Rattus norvegicus: one gene and its partners. The protein of the gene in region 2 purifies or fractionates together with the protein of the main gene of each other region. This does not show direct contact. Links are inferred from orthologs where the notes say so. Each region holds a gene or a part of one and is shown on either strand. Other genes may lie near its edges.

What was found.
Region 1: the proteins of Ptpru (region 2) and Golim4 purify together in Homo sapiens (affinity purification with mass spectrometry; 3 studies listed by BioGRID and IntAct, counting the BioPlex papers as one, with this or other methods). This does not show direct contact. The link is inferred for Rattus norvegicus from reciprocal best matches to the Homo sapiens genes PTPRU and GOLIM4.
Region 3: the proteins of Ptpru (region 2) and Clgn purify together in Homo sapiens (affinity purification with mass spectrometry; 3 studies listed by BioGRID and IntAct, with this or other methods). This does not show direct contact. The link is inferred for Rattus norvegicus from reciprocal best matches to the Homo sapiens genes PTPRU and CLGN.

Annotation. Positions count from the first base shown.
Region 1 is NC_086020.1:162,954,753-162,959,767, forward strand, and holds part of Golim4 (Golgi integral membrane protein 4), read right to left. Parts: intron 2,743-5,015; coding exon 2,440-2,742; intron 1,469-2,439; coding exon 1,221-1,468; intron 415-1,220; coding exon 332-414; intron 1-331. UniProt on the Homo sapiens protein: Plays a role in endosome to Golgi protein trafficking; mediates protein transport along the late endosome-bypass pathway from the early endosome to the Golgi.
Region 2 is NC_086023.1:149,304,945-149,310,611, forward strand, and holds the start of Ptpru (receptor-type tyrosine-protein phosphatase U precursor 1 precursor), read right to left. Parts: upstream 3,890-5,667; 5' UTR 3,767-3,889; coding exon 3,694-3,766; intron 2,461-3,693; exon of another isoform or gene 1-2,460.
Region 3 is NC_086037.1:41,605,020-41,610,034, forward strand, and holds part of Clgn (calmegin precursor), read right to left. Parts: intron 2,845-5,015; coding exon 2,731-2,844; intron 2,620-2,730; coding exon 2,469-2,619; intron 622-2,468; coding exon 406-621; intron 1-405. UniProt on the Homo sapiens protein: Functions during spermatogenesis as a chaperone for a range of client proteins that are important for sperm adhesion onto the egg zona pellucida and for subsequent penetration of the zona pellucida.

The sequences.
Region 1 (5,015 bases), on a different chromosome or scaffold from region 2:
AGAATAACTTATCAGCCTGTCCTTGCATCCTTCATCAACAGAATTCATCCCTATGCTTACTACATTTTTTTTTTTCACTCTAGATCTGAGCCTTGAGCAGAGGTAAGAATTATGTAGGAAAGAGTCACCATCGTGGCCAGGTTTCAGTAGTGGTATATGTTTTTACCAGCACTCAGACCAAGTGTGGCAACAGTGTTAGCATGAGTCACAGCTGTCTTCTGCATTTATTCAGGGATGGAGTTAGCCTGTTGGAGCAAGGGACTGTGCTGCTTGCTATAGCGTGGTATGACCAAGCAGTCTGACTGAAGTGGCATCATCTAAGAAGTCTTACCACCTCCCTCTTCTTCAGGGATTCCTTGGTCCTCGGCTCCCTGTGCAACATCATTCTCCACAGCATCAGAATGAGCTTGCTGCCTGTCAGGGACCCAAATTCGGAGATAAACAATCAGCCAGCACAGTTTGACAAAGGTCATTTATCTTTTAAGACAGGAATAAATAAAGATTTCAGCTTTTAGAATAAGCCATAACTTGTTTCTGAGATTTAGACACATAATAAAGTGTAATCGTGATACCAGCTATGTTTTCAAAGCCTTTAAAAAATAAATTGTCATTCCCTGATGAAATTAAGTTAGAACTGCGGATGCTAGGCGATTTTGAGGCTGCTTGCTTTTATTTCACAGGAGTGTGCAATGTGTGTGCACGGAAGTCTTGTGAGAGGTGCACCAACATGCAGCATACCACGGGGTCGGAAGGTAACCCTGCATGGTGTCCTCGTCTTCAACCATGTTTGACTCAGAGCCTGACTTTCTGGTGTTTGCTGTTACGTACTCCACGCTGATTGGCTGAAAACTTCTAGAGATTCTCCTTGTCTCCATCTCCCATCCTGATGAACTAGCCCAGAATTCCAGACTGTATGCCACTGTACTTAGATTTGCATCGATTCTGGGGATTTGAACTTAAGTGCTAATATTTGTGTGGTAAGTCCTTTATCACCAAGCCCTCTTCTCAACTGATAACTATCTGATAACTATTGCGTTTAGACAGAACAAAAATTATGCTTAAAAGTGAGTATCTAGCATTTAATTCCCTAATACTTTTTTTCTATCTTGTCTCCATGGGCAATATAAGTTTGTCTTCTTGCCATACACTACACGTACACAATGCTGATTTGACAAAAGAAGAAGGACTGTCTACACCCACCAGGGAAAGGGGCAGGCTACCTTAGCTGGTACTGCTGCTGGCCTTCCTCATGGTCTGCCTGCTTCTGCTGAGCCATCTCTCTGGCCAGGTACTGCTGCTGCTGCTGTTGTCGTAGCAACTGTCCGTGGAGCCTCTGTTGGTGCAAAGCTTCTTGATGTTCTCTCAGCCGCTGGGCTTCCTCATCTCTCCTTGCTGCCAGCCTCTGCTGTTCCAACTGCTCCTCATATGGGGACCGGAAGTTTGTAGCTGCCTTGGTTGAATGCTCAATCTAGAATAGAAAAGGTTCAAGCTGAGCTAGGAGCGTTAAACCCTTCACTTGCTTGGCAGGACAAACTCAGGAGGCAGGATAGGCTTCTCAACACTTTATATCAGGTAAATGCCAATTGTACATAAAGCCTAAGAACTTGTAATTTCCAGCTTTTTCTGAAAGGACTTGGTCTTCTTCTGGACCTGTCAGCTGGAAGGTGGCCTTTCAGTGTGCTCCTGCTTCAATACTACAGGGCACAGCACAAGAAATCAGTTCCAACCTTAACTAAATTCATGCTTTTAGGTTCTGAATCAAGCTGGTAACCCCACACTAAATGCACAATGTGTGAAGCTAAGGCTTTGTATAGGAATAAAGGTCCAAGGATGCTAACTCCAAAAATGTATGTTAGTCTCAGGCTAAAGGAAATGTCAAATTTCAGCTTATACTACTGATTCAGAGGAGATTAAAGATAGAGACAGAGACAAAGAAAGAGAGTTGAAAAGGAGAGAAAGACACAGAAAGAGGAGAAATAGAAAAACAGAGACAAAGAGAGGAGGGAGAAACTCTCTCTCTCTCTCTCTCTCTGTGTGTGTGTGTGTGTGTGTGTGTGTGTGTGTGTGTGTGTGTGTGTGTGTGTGTGAGAATGCCTCAAGAGTCCTTCTTTATGTACTATTCACCTTGCTTTTAAAGGCATGGTCTCTCTCTGAAACCTGGGCTTTCTTGTCAGGCTAGGCTGGCTGGCTGGTGAGCCCCAGACACCTGTCTATTTCCCCAGTGCAGGACTATAGAAACATACCACCACACAAGCTTTGTACACAGCATTTGGGATCAAAATGAGTTCATCCAGATTTTACTTCACTGACTGACCATCTCCACAGTCTCATTGTGTCATTATCATTATTATTACTGTTGCTATTATTATTCTTTTATTAGTATTTTAAACTAAAGCCAAGCTCCCCATCAGAGAGAACTTCTAGTGGGCACCCATGCACCTCAGCTTGAGGGCGGCCATCCAGAAGGTGGGCTGCATTCTGTCTCCGCTGATCGCGCCACTCTCGATCCTGCTCCTCTGGTGATGGGTCGTGTTCTTCCTCTAGATGCTCTGCCTGTCCCACCTGCTCCATTTCCTCCTCTTCCAGTGCCTTCCTGTGTTCCTCTTCCACTTGACGCCCCTCAGGCTCTCTGGGTTCTACTTGGTTCTGCTCTTCTAGAGCCTGAAATCCTGCTTCCTTCTGCATGGATGACAAAGGTTTCTCTTCCATTCTTCTAGGCATCGCGTCATGGTTCTGCTGCCCCTTGTTATTTCAAGATAAGCACATCATAAGACATGACACTTTTCTATTTCAAATGTGGTGACATTATGCTTCTATTACCACATCTAAAGGGCTACAGCATAAGCAAAATCCTGGAGTCTAGAAATATACACAGCCATGACTAAAAAGGAAGAGAGGTGCGAGGAAGCTATTTCATTCTCACTGTGTCATCTCACCCTAAGACATAAATAATCCAGGCAAAATTTTATCTCAGAGAATGCTCAGAGACCAGGAAACTGAAGCCTACCAGTAACCATTTATTAGGAACGCACGTCCCTCAAAGGCAATCTGACTCCAGCTCTGCTTAGACTAGAAAGGAAAACAAGCAAAAAAAAAAAAAAAATAGAAACTGGAAATCCTCAATCCTGATGCTTATGAAAGCTGCTTTAAGGTCAGTTTCTTCTCAACAGATATTTTAAAGGACTGGGATAAGCTTTAAGACTCAGTTGAAGAAGAACTGGGTTGCTTTCTCATTAGCTTCACTTACTAGTCAGCAGAAGGGGCTTGCACTACTAATGGACATCCATGGTTGTACAAAATAGTTTTAGCTAAGCAAGACACAAAATATTCTTTGTTACATTTCAATTTGTGCCAGCCAGTGTGCTTGTGAGTGCCCAGACACATAGCTGTTTATGTTGGGAGAGCATGTGGGAGTGTGTGGGAGTGTGTGGGAGCATGAGGAAGCTTGTGCGAGCATGATGTCAGCCTCAAGTCACATTTCTCAGGAGGCCTATATCTTGTGAACTGAGACACGGTCCCTCGTGAGGACTCCAGGGTCATGAATTAGACTAGATTGGCTGGTCAATGAGCCCCTGAGATCCTCTGCCTTTCCTTCTCCAACACTAGAATTGTAGGCACACCCCACATAAAAATTGGCCTCTATGTTGGATTCAACCTAGGCTTGTGGCAGACATTTTACTGAATCACCTTGCCAGGCCATCAAATATTAATGAATCTTGTTTCATCGTTTTGTACCAAAGGCAATCTGTCCATTTATTACAATAAACAATACAATTATAGATGATATTAGTATAATATATAATAAATTGACAGGATAAACACTGTCAAAACAGAAAACTAAACCACGGAAATAAAAACTTTTAGAAAACATCTTCTGTAAATGTGTTGAGTCTAAGCCATATTTTCCAATCTTTCTTTAATCTCTGTTAGCTTGGAGGATGAAACACTCATATGAAAATCTGTGGTGCCTTTCCCTTTTCCCTTTTCTTTATCAAGAAAAGGTACTTCTGTGGTCAGATTAACTTCTTATAATTGAGATGGCTAGAGGACCACACCATCGGCAAATTTAAATGGGAAGTCCTCTATGAAGGGAGATAATTATCACTCTTGTAAAAGTCAAGAATGTAAAGCATGGCATGGAGAGAAAAGTTCTTCCTTGAATATCTGAGACCTTCTAGAGGTGTACATTTGATGAAGTCCTCTGGCAAGTTTGCCATAAAACTGCATTGTAGAAAATGTTTTCCTCAAGGGCTCTAAGGGCTTTCAAACACCTGCCATTTATCCCCACTCTGTCCTTGTGAGGAAGGTTAGAGCAGATAACTTCTATCTCCCACTCCCAGTTGGAGCAAACCAAGCTCTGAATCATTAGACAGTGATTCCAGTAAGCTGGAAGCCATACTAGCAGAGCAGAGAATCAAATGACAGGCCTGCTCTCCTAGTGTGCTGTCGGAATTGCTGGATATAAATCCCCACCAAAAACCGCATTGCAAGAACCCCAAGCCTGTTTTTGAAGGAATGTGCTGTTCATGCTGAAAACATTCATATTGCAAGCTCGACTCATGTTGACTTCATTATCCCCATGAGATGGCTAGCCACTTGCAGACACAACTTCTCAAACATTTACTGCAAGCCTGTCACAGCGTGATGTGGAGATCACAGGACAACTCTTTACCTTCCTCCATTTGGATCCTATGAAATGAACTCAAGCCGTTAATCTTGAGAGCAGGGGCCTTCACCTGCTGAGCCACTTCCCCAGCCCACACAAGGAACTTTGTAAGAATTAATGATAAGTAAGACCACGCTGGCGAGGTTATACTTGTGAAACATACTCAAGCATGTCTTGATTTTCATGAAGAATAAGAATAAAGCGAATTGTGACCAGGTTACAAAGACATTTTAGTATGATTTGCTGTGCTCTCTATGAGAGCAGAAGTGTACCAATTTCTATTCGATTAGCTTTAATATGGAAGTGGGTTACCACATAATAGTCTCATGCTATTCAAACCTGTTACCTA
Region 2 (5,667 bases):
CCAGGGGAGGGAGCGGAGCAGCAGCAGTCTGTGGGGGAGGGGCCCTCCGGCAAGAGCCCTCTCCCTTCAGTCTCTGCCAGAGACTCAACCTCTTTAACTCGCAGCTCCCAGATGACACTTTCTGGACTCGGCCTTTTCACAACATAACACCATCCACCGGCAGAATCTTCCAGATTCTTACCGAGGGAAAAACAAAAAAAAAAAAAACAAAAAAAAACTCTTCCTTCCCTTCTGCCTTCAATGGAGTCATTGCGCCCCCATCTGGCATCTCCAGCCCTGAATTTGACCTGCTTGACTCCATTCATTCATTCATTTTTTTTTTTTCAATACGAAAAGTTGTCCTGACTAGCATGGAATTCACCGTGCAACTCAGGATGACCTCAAACTTGCAATCAATTCCCTTGCCTCAGCGTCTCCCCTCTCCCAGTGCTTGGATTACAGCACTGAACTGTATCACCCAGTTTCACTCATTCTAGTACTCCACAGCCATTTACTTGGACTAGAAGGCTCAGTCAGACCTTGTGCCTGGTGCATTTGAAGGTACATGGTGACTTTCCTCACAGAGCTCCTGATCTTGTAAAGGTGGCAGGACCAAGAGACTGTAATTATAACCTAATATAAAAAACCTAATCAACTTCTCCCTTCCCTCTCCTGGGCCCAAACAGAGAAAAACCAAGAAAGGCTTCAATGAAGAAGTGATATCTAAGCTGAGAAACAAACTAGGGGCTCACAATGGAAACTGTGGAATCACAGAGAGAAAGCAATTTGTACATGGTGCCGAGAAGAGATAGTGGGTAGTGGGTACTTAGGGACTACTGGTAGATAAGGCTAGCCAGATCATAGGATCCCAAGATGAGGTGGACCAGGCAGAGACTAGAACACTGATGGGGCTGAGAAGGAAAGACTTTAACTGTGAAAGTAACAGGGAGCTTTGATGAGAATTGGAAGAGGGGTTTAATGCATGCATTTTAGGAAGAACCCTGTCACTGTGGAAGGAAGATGCTACTGCCTTTCTGTAAGTGGACGACGGCTGAGGAGGGAGAAAAAGGAAAGATGGAGGAGACATAGGTTACTTCAAGACACAAAGGGAAGGCACAAAGCTCCTGTCACTCTGGCTGACCTAGCTGGTACCACAAGCCCAGTTAGGGCCAGCCTGGAGGATAGCAGCATGCCCCCAGCTAACAGGGTACAGTCCTGGATCTCTGATGCCACTGGACAGAAGCAGGAGGCAGCCTGGAAGTGTGGCATAGGATCCAGGCCACCCTCCTGGCTTCCTGCCTAGCCTCCCTTTTCAGCCCCAGAGAGAAGGCTGCCCTGACAAGCCCTCTTTGCCTAACCTGAAACCACAGGGCACCTCTCCCTCATTCCTGATGCCCACAATTCCAGCGACCAAAAAGATAGATTGAGCCAGAGCACTCAGTGGGATAATTACTGCCAGGTGTGCTCTGCACAGAGACACCCTACACAGACCCCCACTGCGTGACTAAGGAGGTAGGCAGGGAACTGGATCCACTCCCTAGACTGAAGACAGAGGGCTGCCACCTCCCTTCTGCCCAGAGCTTCTGAATCGATCTCTAATTGTAAGAGCTTCAAAGGTGCCAGGAGCTTGAGAGGTAAAGAGACTTACCCAAGGTCACACACAGCAAGTAGCAGAGACAGAATTTGAGTCCATGTTGCCCCTGGCTTCAAGTTAGCCCCTAGGGCTTTACCACACCCCCTCCAACCCATCTTCTCTGATTCCCAGATAGGGGACTTAACCTTCTACCAAGTAATACGCGATCATTAGTAAGATCATGAAGCCAACGGAGAAACTGAGGCTCAGGAATGAGAATAACCTGCAGTAGGTCTCACTCTCAAACATTGATCCTGACAGTCCACTACTGTGGTGATTGAGGCTCTCACGTTTATTCTCCAATCAAGGTGATGGGGTGGGGAGTGCAAAGGGTTCGATCTCAAAGTGGGGGAAGGTGGGAGGGGTTGAGAAAGGTCTAAGAGGCAGATACCAGGAGGTCAAAACTGAAGCTGAGCAGGGCAAGGCCAGGACAGCTCACGAGACGCCCCAGCGGGGGCGGGGCCGTGAACTAGATCCCGGAGGCTCGCAGTCTGGGGCAGGCGGCCTGGAGTCTCTCTCCCGGCCCAAGGCAGCAGCGCGTGTCTCGGCTCTGCTTCCACCCCGGGCGGCTCCCAGCTACCCCACGCCGGGTGGCGGGAGCCAGGGGAGGAGGAAACCCTGGAAAAGAGCGGGCGCACGCCCGCTGGAGGGGATGAGGCCTGAGGTCCAGGCCTCAGGAAAGGATGGTGGACCACGCACACACACAAGCACACCGACACTCCGTCAACAGAGCACACGATGCGATGCACTCGCGGACGCACAGACACAGGCACTGGACACACATTCAGACATACGAATGCACACACACCCTTCATAGGACACCAGGCTCCAAAGCACACTCAGGCACACGATCACACCGCAGGCCGAGGGGGAGCCCCACGCACACATTTACACGCGCACACACACGTCCGCACGCGCGCGCCCCGCTGGCCGGGAGGCCGCACAAAGTTGCAAAGCAGACGCAGGCAGCGTCCCCAGGAACCGCGGCGTCCCCAACGCCTCTGGCGGGCTACGATGGGGACGCTGTCCCGCGGCCTCCAGCCAGGCCTTGCGGGGGCCCCGACGCCGCAGCCCCGCCCGCAACCGGGTGCGCCCCACTGCTCTCCCCACCCGGGCGCCCCGCGGCCCTGGCGCCGCCTGGGATCAGCCGCCAGCCAGCGCCGCTTGGAACTTGCGAAACAACAAACCGCCCGAAATGTCGGAGTCGGCGGCTACAGCCGCGTCTCTCCCCCTTCCTTCCCTCGCCAGCCGCAGGGCCGCCCCAGCCTCCGAGGGATGCCACCGCGACAACTTGTTCCGGCCCGGTGCGCCACGCACACGCGCGCGCTATCACACACACACACACACACGCACACGCACACACACGCACACACACACACCCTCGGTTCCCTGCCACACTCGACCACGGCCCAGGAGCACCCCAAGCTCGCAGCGTCCCTAGCCACGTAACCACAGCTCACCGACACACTCACATCCACTCTAAACACGCTCCCCCACACGCATTCCCCGCATCTCTGACATTCACTCGGACCCATACAGCACCGTACACCCCAAACACTCCCACAGGGTCACTCGTGGGCACAGCGCACAGATACACAGGCTCCAACCAGGTTCCCACGACTGCACACGCACACACACTATACACACGTTCCGGGGCCCACACTGGGGCAGGATCCACAGAGCCCTCACAGCACACGCATAAACAAACACGCGGGTTTTCAAATGCACCAGCACCAGCACTCCCGCCTGGGGAATACAAAACAGCCTACAAATGCAATACAGTATCAAACGCAACTCTAGTCAAGCCACAGAAACTCAGACCCACAACCCACTTGGCAGCGTGGACAAACATGAGCCAGCGCACACCCGGTGCCCCACGCAGGCGACACACCAGCACACTCGCATCCGCGGTACACACTCAACCTCAGCTTGCACACAAACTACAGACACAGAGGCCACAGACACTCATGCGACCACAGAGAGCATGCGACCGAACGTCCCGCACTCCAACACCGGCGACCAGCCATCTCCGGCCCCTCGGGCACTCGCGGGATAAGCTTGGAGGGACCGCGCGCGCTTACCTGCGGGAGTCTCGGTCTCGGGCGCGCAGAACTGGAAGGTGAGCGCCAGGACCAGAGCCTGAGCTCGGGCCATGGCTGGGGCGCCGCCGCCTGGGTCCTGGAGACCGGTAGCTGGGGAGGCGACGCCTCCGGAGCCGAAGCCGGAGCCCAAGGCGAGCGGGAGCGGTAGCGGAGCAGCGCCGCGCGGAGCGGGACTGGCGCCCAGTCCAGAGCGGGAGCCCGAACGAGCGGGGCGCTGACGTCAGGCCCCCGGGTGCGAGTTCTGCGGTCTCGAGGCGTCCCCTGCTGGCGGTGTCGCGCGCTGCGGCCGGGGTCCCTGGGCCCGCCGGCCCCGGCGCGCCCATCCCCCACTCTCGCACCGCTGGTGCCCGTAGTTAGATCCACGTTCTCAGCGCATTCGTTGCCCACGGCTGAGACTGTAGCCCAGGGACACTTGGCTCCTCTGTTCCCTCGGTTGCTTAAGTTCTTCCTACCATGACTGCTCTGAATACACATTCACAGCTCCCTCCAAAGACACAACACTCACACTTCATCTACCAAAACGTTGGGCCTTTGGACTGTTGCCCTTTACTTTCAGTAATATGAAATGCACCTCTCTCACTAACGCTGGTGCCTCGTACGGTAGCCTCCGGCTACTCAGAACAAGTAAATCTGAACTCCAAGGTTTTGCACAACCACCAAAAATAGTTGTCAGTGACTATGTAAGACCAGGGGCCATGTGTGCCTCTCTCTCTGGGACTCTGTTCATCTTAATTATTGTCCTACGGGCAACACACCACGCTAGTTCCATTACACAATTGAAAAAGTTGAGGTTGTAGAGCATGGCTTTTTCAAGATTATGTATCAGTAATCTTGAAATCAACACCAAGATCTGAATCAAGGTTACTGGCTTGAACTGTGTAAAAAAGACAAAACAAAACCAAAAAAGACTCACATCTGGAAACCCATTTGCTTCTCAAGTACTGACTAGATACGGGCTCCTTGGTTCAATGATGACTGTAGGCCACCGAGGACATTAAAAGAACAAAGACCTAATCTCCCGGAGCTGGAGAGACAGCTCAGTGGTTGGGCTTCCATACTGCTCTTGCAAAGGATTCAGGATGGATCCCCAGCATCCTTGTTCAATGGTTCAGCCACCTTTAACTGCAGCTACAGGGTATCAGCACTTCCGGCCTTGTGGGGCACAGCACTTGCATGCACATAGACACAAATATAACTTAAAATTTTAAATTTTTTTTAAAAAAAATCTCCACCCTCATAAAGCTTACATTCAGGAAGAAGTGTGTGTGTGGGGGGGTGGGGGGGTGGAATTCACAGTAGGGGAAGTGGACTGCTGCACTTCTAAACAGACTGCCTGCTATGTGATTGATTTGGTATTTATCCCCATATTTAGAATTCGAGCTCCCCTAGAGAAGCTTTGTCGTGTCCCCCCTCCTCCCCCGGCCTGGTATCCCGCATACTTGATGGGTAATGACTTAGTGGGTAACTAATAAAGGAACGCTTACAGAGATGCTTCTTCCTTTACTAACGACTTCATTGCAACAAATATACATATGCAACTCCAGTCTGAGACATGAGTCCTCCAGGAAATGATGTTCCTGCAACAAGGAACACTTAGGGACAGGGTCCAAGAGGCCTTTGCCAAGAGAATGTGGCCCTATGCCACATGGTCTGAGACCTGAGGAGCCAGCCTCAAGCAGACCAATTGGAAGGAACGCTACATCCAGAAGAGCTAGCCTGGGCAAAGATAGGCTGGTGGGTCTAAGAAGATTAGGGAGGTTGGAATGGAACAGTGAAGAGGAACGGCAGGTGTAGCTGGAGCAGTTGCCGGGGCCTGCAGACCATACAGAGAGCCGAGTAAGGGAGATATTTTGAGTTAATAAACACGAAGAAAAGGATAAGTCACTGAACAGTCTTGAGTTCTGATTTATTACTTTCATTCCCCCAAAAAACTAATGCACAGAGACATGGGAT
Region 3 (5,015 bases), on a different chromosome or scaffold from region 2:
TACTTGGATCACATATAGATCACTGTTACAAATCAGCCTTGCACTGCCGACATGAAAACACACTTTTTTTTTTTCCTTTTTTCTTTTTTTCGGAGCTGGGGACCGAACCCAGGGCCTTGCGCTTGCTAGGCAAGTGCTCTACCACTGAGCTAAGTCCCCAACCCCTAACGCATTCTTTTTAATGCTATAAACTACAGCCAGACTTTGAATCTCACTGGGGCTGTTATAATTTAAGTTCACCATGCAGGCGATGCAGAGAAGCTAGATGGTCTGTATGAAACGTACTCAAGTCCGTTCCCTTGGCATTTAGTAGCTGCTGCATCTGTGTCACCCACGGCCAGGACTGGGTCCCCAGGAGGCCTTCCCGCCCACCGTCCCGTTACTTGTCTGTGGTCACTGTCACACCTCATTGGCATTTGCCACCATTATCTTCAGCTCCCAGCCATCTGCAGCCCACTGATCCGCCACCTCCTTTTCTGAACAGATGATAAAATTATCAAAGTAGATGTCAGGAGTCATGGACCAAAGCTCTAAGCCCAGAGCACTGAAAGAAGTCAGAAGGAATGGGTGGTCATCTTCAAAATAATCCGGGTTAGGAATTTTCTGAGGACTCCAGATTCCCTGGAAGAAACAGCAAAGGAAACTTTTAAGTAAAGTGATGTTGTTAAACAAATAAAAAGGAGCAGAAGAAGCCTTTATAGTAAGGGTGGGGAGATAGCTTAGGTGGTAACATGTGGTCCCCTGTGGGAAGAAGGTACAAGGAGCTGAGTTTAGTCTCTGGCACCATTTAAAGAGCTGTGCTGTAGGGCAATGGCTGTAATCCCAGTCCTGAGGAAATGGAGATAGGGAGTCCCTGGAATCTGTCAGCCAGTTAGTCAACTTGAGTCAGAAAGATCCAGGTTTAATGAGAGACAACATCTCAAAAACAGTAAGATGAAGGGCAAGTGCTCCCCCCACCCTCTCTCTCACACACACACACACTCTCTCTCTCTCTCTCTCCCTCTCTCTCTCTCTCCCACACACACACACACACACACACACACACACACACACACACACACACTCTCGCTCTCTCTCACATACTCTCTCTCTCACACACACAGACACACCTTGTGATAAATGAATGCTACAAAGAAGGACCACAGTGAAGAATTAGAATATACAACCACAATTGTGTGTATATAGATATAGATATATATACCATCATTCTATCTGTATGTATGTATGTATGTATGTATGTATGTATGTATGTATGTATGTGAGAGAGACAGAGACAGAGATGGTTTCTCTACATAGCCCTGTCTGTCCTGGAACTTGCTCTGTAGACCAGGCTGGCCTTGAACTCATGGAGATCCTCCTAACTCTACCTCTCAAGTACTGGGATTAAAGGTGTGTGCTACCACACCCAACAAAAGATGCTACATTTGTTTTTTAAATTGCTACTTTATTTTAAAAGACTTTACCGTTTGGTTTTACCCTAGGGGTCTGTGCTATCTGTCTCTGGTTCTAGGTCACCCAAGCAGTGTTGGGTATGGGTCCCTTCTCATGGAGTGGGCCTTAAGTCAAATCAGACACCGTTGGCCACTCCCACCAAGTTCTGTGCCACCAATGCCCCAGCACATCTTGCAGGCAGGACAAATTGTAGGTCGAAGGTTTTGTGGCTGGGTTGGTGTCTGTGTTTCTCTTTCATTGGCCTGCATAGTACCTTCCTGCAAAGAGAGACTGAAACGTAGGGACGAGAGCTCCAAGTAGGCACCAGCCTGACTTCTCCATGCTCAATGAGTTGTGTGGTGTCGTCTTCAGCAGTGGGACCCAGTGTGCTGAGAGCGGCCTTTGTCTCGGCAATCAATTGCCTGGGTCAATTCAGGATTTCCATGGGACCCCCTTGGCCAACAACTCAACTGAGTGTGCCCTGCTCTCACCTCTGGGAGCCTTGCCTGGCTACAGAGATGACCAGTTGGGACTCTGTACCCCATTACCAGGAGTCCTCCCTAGGGTCACCTTCATAGATTCCAGGGAGTTTCCACTGCACCAGGTTTTCATACCATACCCAAATGAACCCCCAATCCCAGTCACCTCTCCCTTCATTCTGTCTCTACCCCATCACTCCCCAGTCTGATTTCCTCACTCCTGTCCCCACCCACCCCCCAGTCCACCCATAAAAATCTATTCTGTCTTCCCCTTTAGGGAGATTCATGTGGTCCCCACCCCAGACCCCTTCCTCTTTCCTAACCCAAATTACTCAACTTTTTTTTTTTTTTTTTTTTTGGTTCTTTTTTTCGGAGCTGGGGACCGAACCCAGGGCCTTGCGCTTCCTAGGCAAGCGCTCTGCCACTGAGCCAAATCCCCAACCCCTCAACTTTTTAACTTCATAAAATTACATGTGAAACTTCTAAAAGCCGCAGGACACTGGTGAGGATTAGAAGAACCAATCCAACCTTACTACAGAACTGGGCAGCGCTTATCACCTGGTAGTTAGGGTTATTGATCATCGGTGGTCTCCAGATCCCTTTGTATTTTGGGTTATCTATCATGGGAGGTTTCCATTCTCCACATCCGATCTGACAGGCTGGGTTAGGAATGTGTGGCGCCTCCCATTCTCCATCCATGCTGTCACTCCTGAAATGATTGGAGCAGAGGAATCCATTATCTCCAGTCTTTGTAGGAAGCCATGAAGAGTAAGCCATCAAGAGATCTCTGGCACTGTGTGTGGAGCTGCAGAGCGCTTACCAGTCTTCGGGTTTCTCAGCTTTAGGATTGGGGATAAATTTTGGTTCATCATCGAGCCAGCCGTCAGGCTTAACAGCACTCGGGTCTTCGATTTGTATGGGTTCCTTTTCATCCCTGAAGACACATCAGTACAGTAATGTAACGCGGCCCATGTTCCAGGCACACGTCGCACACCTTTTTACACAAACGGTCACACTGCATACATGGCACACTCAATCTTGCTTTTGTCACTCGAACTCAGTCAGCAAAAGTTACGCACCGGTTGCTCTGTGATGTGGTCTGCTTTCTGTGTTGAAGGCTCAGCTCCCAGTGAGGTGAGTTTAATGGTGAAGTGACTGGATCATGAGGGTTTTGATTCACAGATTAATCTGTTTTCAGATTTCTAGCTTAATGGGTTTCAAGCAGGAGATTTCGTTATAAAGCAATCCCTCTCTGCTTCCCTGATGCCAGTGTTTCACACCATGCTCCTTTCCAAGGTGCCGTGGCAATGCACCCCCAACAGTGGAGCCTGGTACCTCTGGATGAAATGGCTGATACTGAGCCTAAGGGTTTCTTCCTCGTGCGTGGACTCCTGAGTGTTTTTTGTCACAGTGAAGTCAATCTAACCCAGACACTTCATACCAAGGAACGTGTGCATTTCCCCAACCACCCCTACCGTGTGGTAGGTTCAGAAGCCTTTGGAACAGGTCTGTGTGGGGTGAGCTTGGGAAAGGCTCAGCATAGACTCAGGCTAGACAGGAGATGCAGAGAGGGATGTAGATAGTGAGGCTACTCCGGGCTATCCGGGATAAGGCATCTCCAAGCTAGGAACACGCAGCAGTACAGGTGCACACCCAAGCCAGTCTTCTCTCTCTGGGGGCCTCATTTATTTTACATTAAGAGGTCAGCCCTTTGTTGACTATATACTGTAAAATATAACCTTTCCACTTTCTACTTTTTCAGGGTTTTAAAAGAATTCATTTCTCTGTATGTGTGTGTGCGTGCACAGGAGGGCACAGACACGTATGCATGTCTGTGTGAATGTGTACTTATGCCACAGCACACAGGAGGCCAGAGAACACCTTATAAAAGCTGGTTCTCTCTTCCATGTGGGCTCCAGGGGTGAGACTCTGGCTATGAGACCCAGTGGCCATCTCAGCAGCCCTCATGTGTTATAAAATAAATGTTTCTGGTCCTTCCTTTCCTCCTCTCCTCTCCTCTCCTCTCCTCTCCTCTCCTCTCCTCTCCTCTCCTCTCCTCTCCTCTCCTCTCCTCTCCTCTCCCTTCCCTTCCCTCCCTTCCCTTCCTTTCTTTCCTTTTTTGTTTCCTTTTCTTCTTTAGACAGGATCTCATGCAGCCCATGCTAGCCTGGAACTTTCTGTATGGTCAAGAATAACTTAAAGGCCCTGACCCTCCTGCTCACACTTTCCAAGTGTTTGTAGCACGGGGCCTGGCCTTTAACATGACTCAATTGTTCCTTTTGCTATATACAAATTGTATGTATGTTTTCAAGCAGCTAAATTTATTAGCCTTTTATGATTTTTTTCTAACTCAGTCATATTTAAAAAGTCTTCATGCTTTCCATATTCACACCTAGCGTTTTAATTTAAAGGCTACACTGACTTAAGACGAAAACCCCGAGGAGCATGAACACAGTGTTAGGAGAATGACCATGATGGCTCTGTAGTGTCACTTCTCGGAAACATGGACGCTGTGACCCCATCAGCTCAAGCTGCAACACAGACTAAACCCCTTGTATTAATGCACAGACTCCACCAACCCAACTTCAGGGTCAGTCTCTGAACACAAGCCCAGCAAGCAGATGCTGGCCCCAATTCTGCTAACGCGCGACTCAGCCAACCAGACCGCAGAGTCAAGCTTTGAACATGCACAGCAGCCAGACGCTGGCTTTTGACAAAGCCTTTCTTCTAGTGCCTCCTAACACACAAGTATGACGAATTCACCAAACACGACGCTGTTATCCACAGCTTCTTCCTCTTTCTGTCTGCAAGCCTGAAGCAGTGTGGGCTCCTAGGGAGGTGCACCTGAAGAAAGGACCCATCAGATGCTGCTGATTCCTCCTCTTCCCCTTTGTAAAGCTTGTCTGACGGGAAAGGCATCCCCACCACAGGCAGCATCTCTCTGGACCAGCGGCACTCGACACATTTACTTTTCCTAAGAACAAGACCTGGTGTTCTGCAGAGGTGGTCACACCAATGTTTGCAAACATGTGACTGGAGGAAATGACCCTTCACATACAAAGGAAAAAACAGATAATGGCGATCAATGATACACATATGTATGAA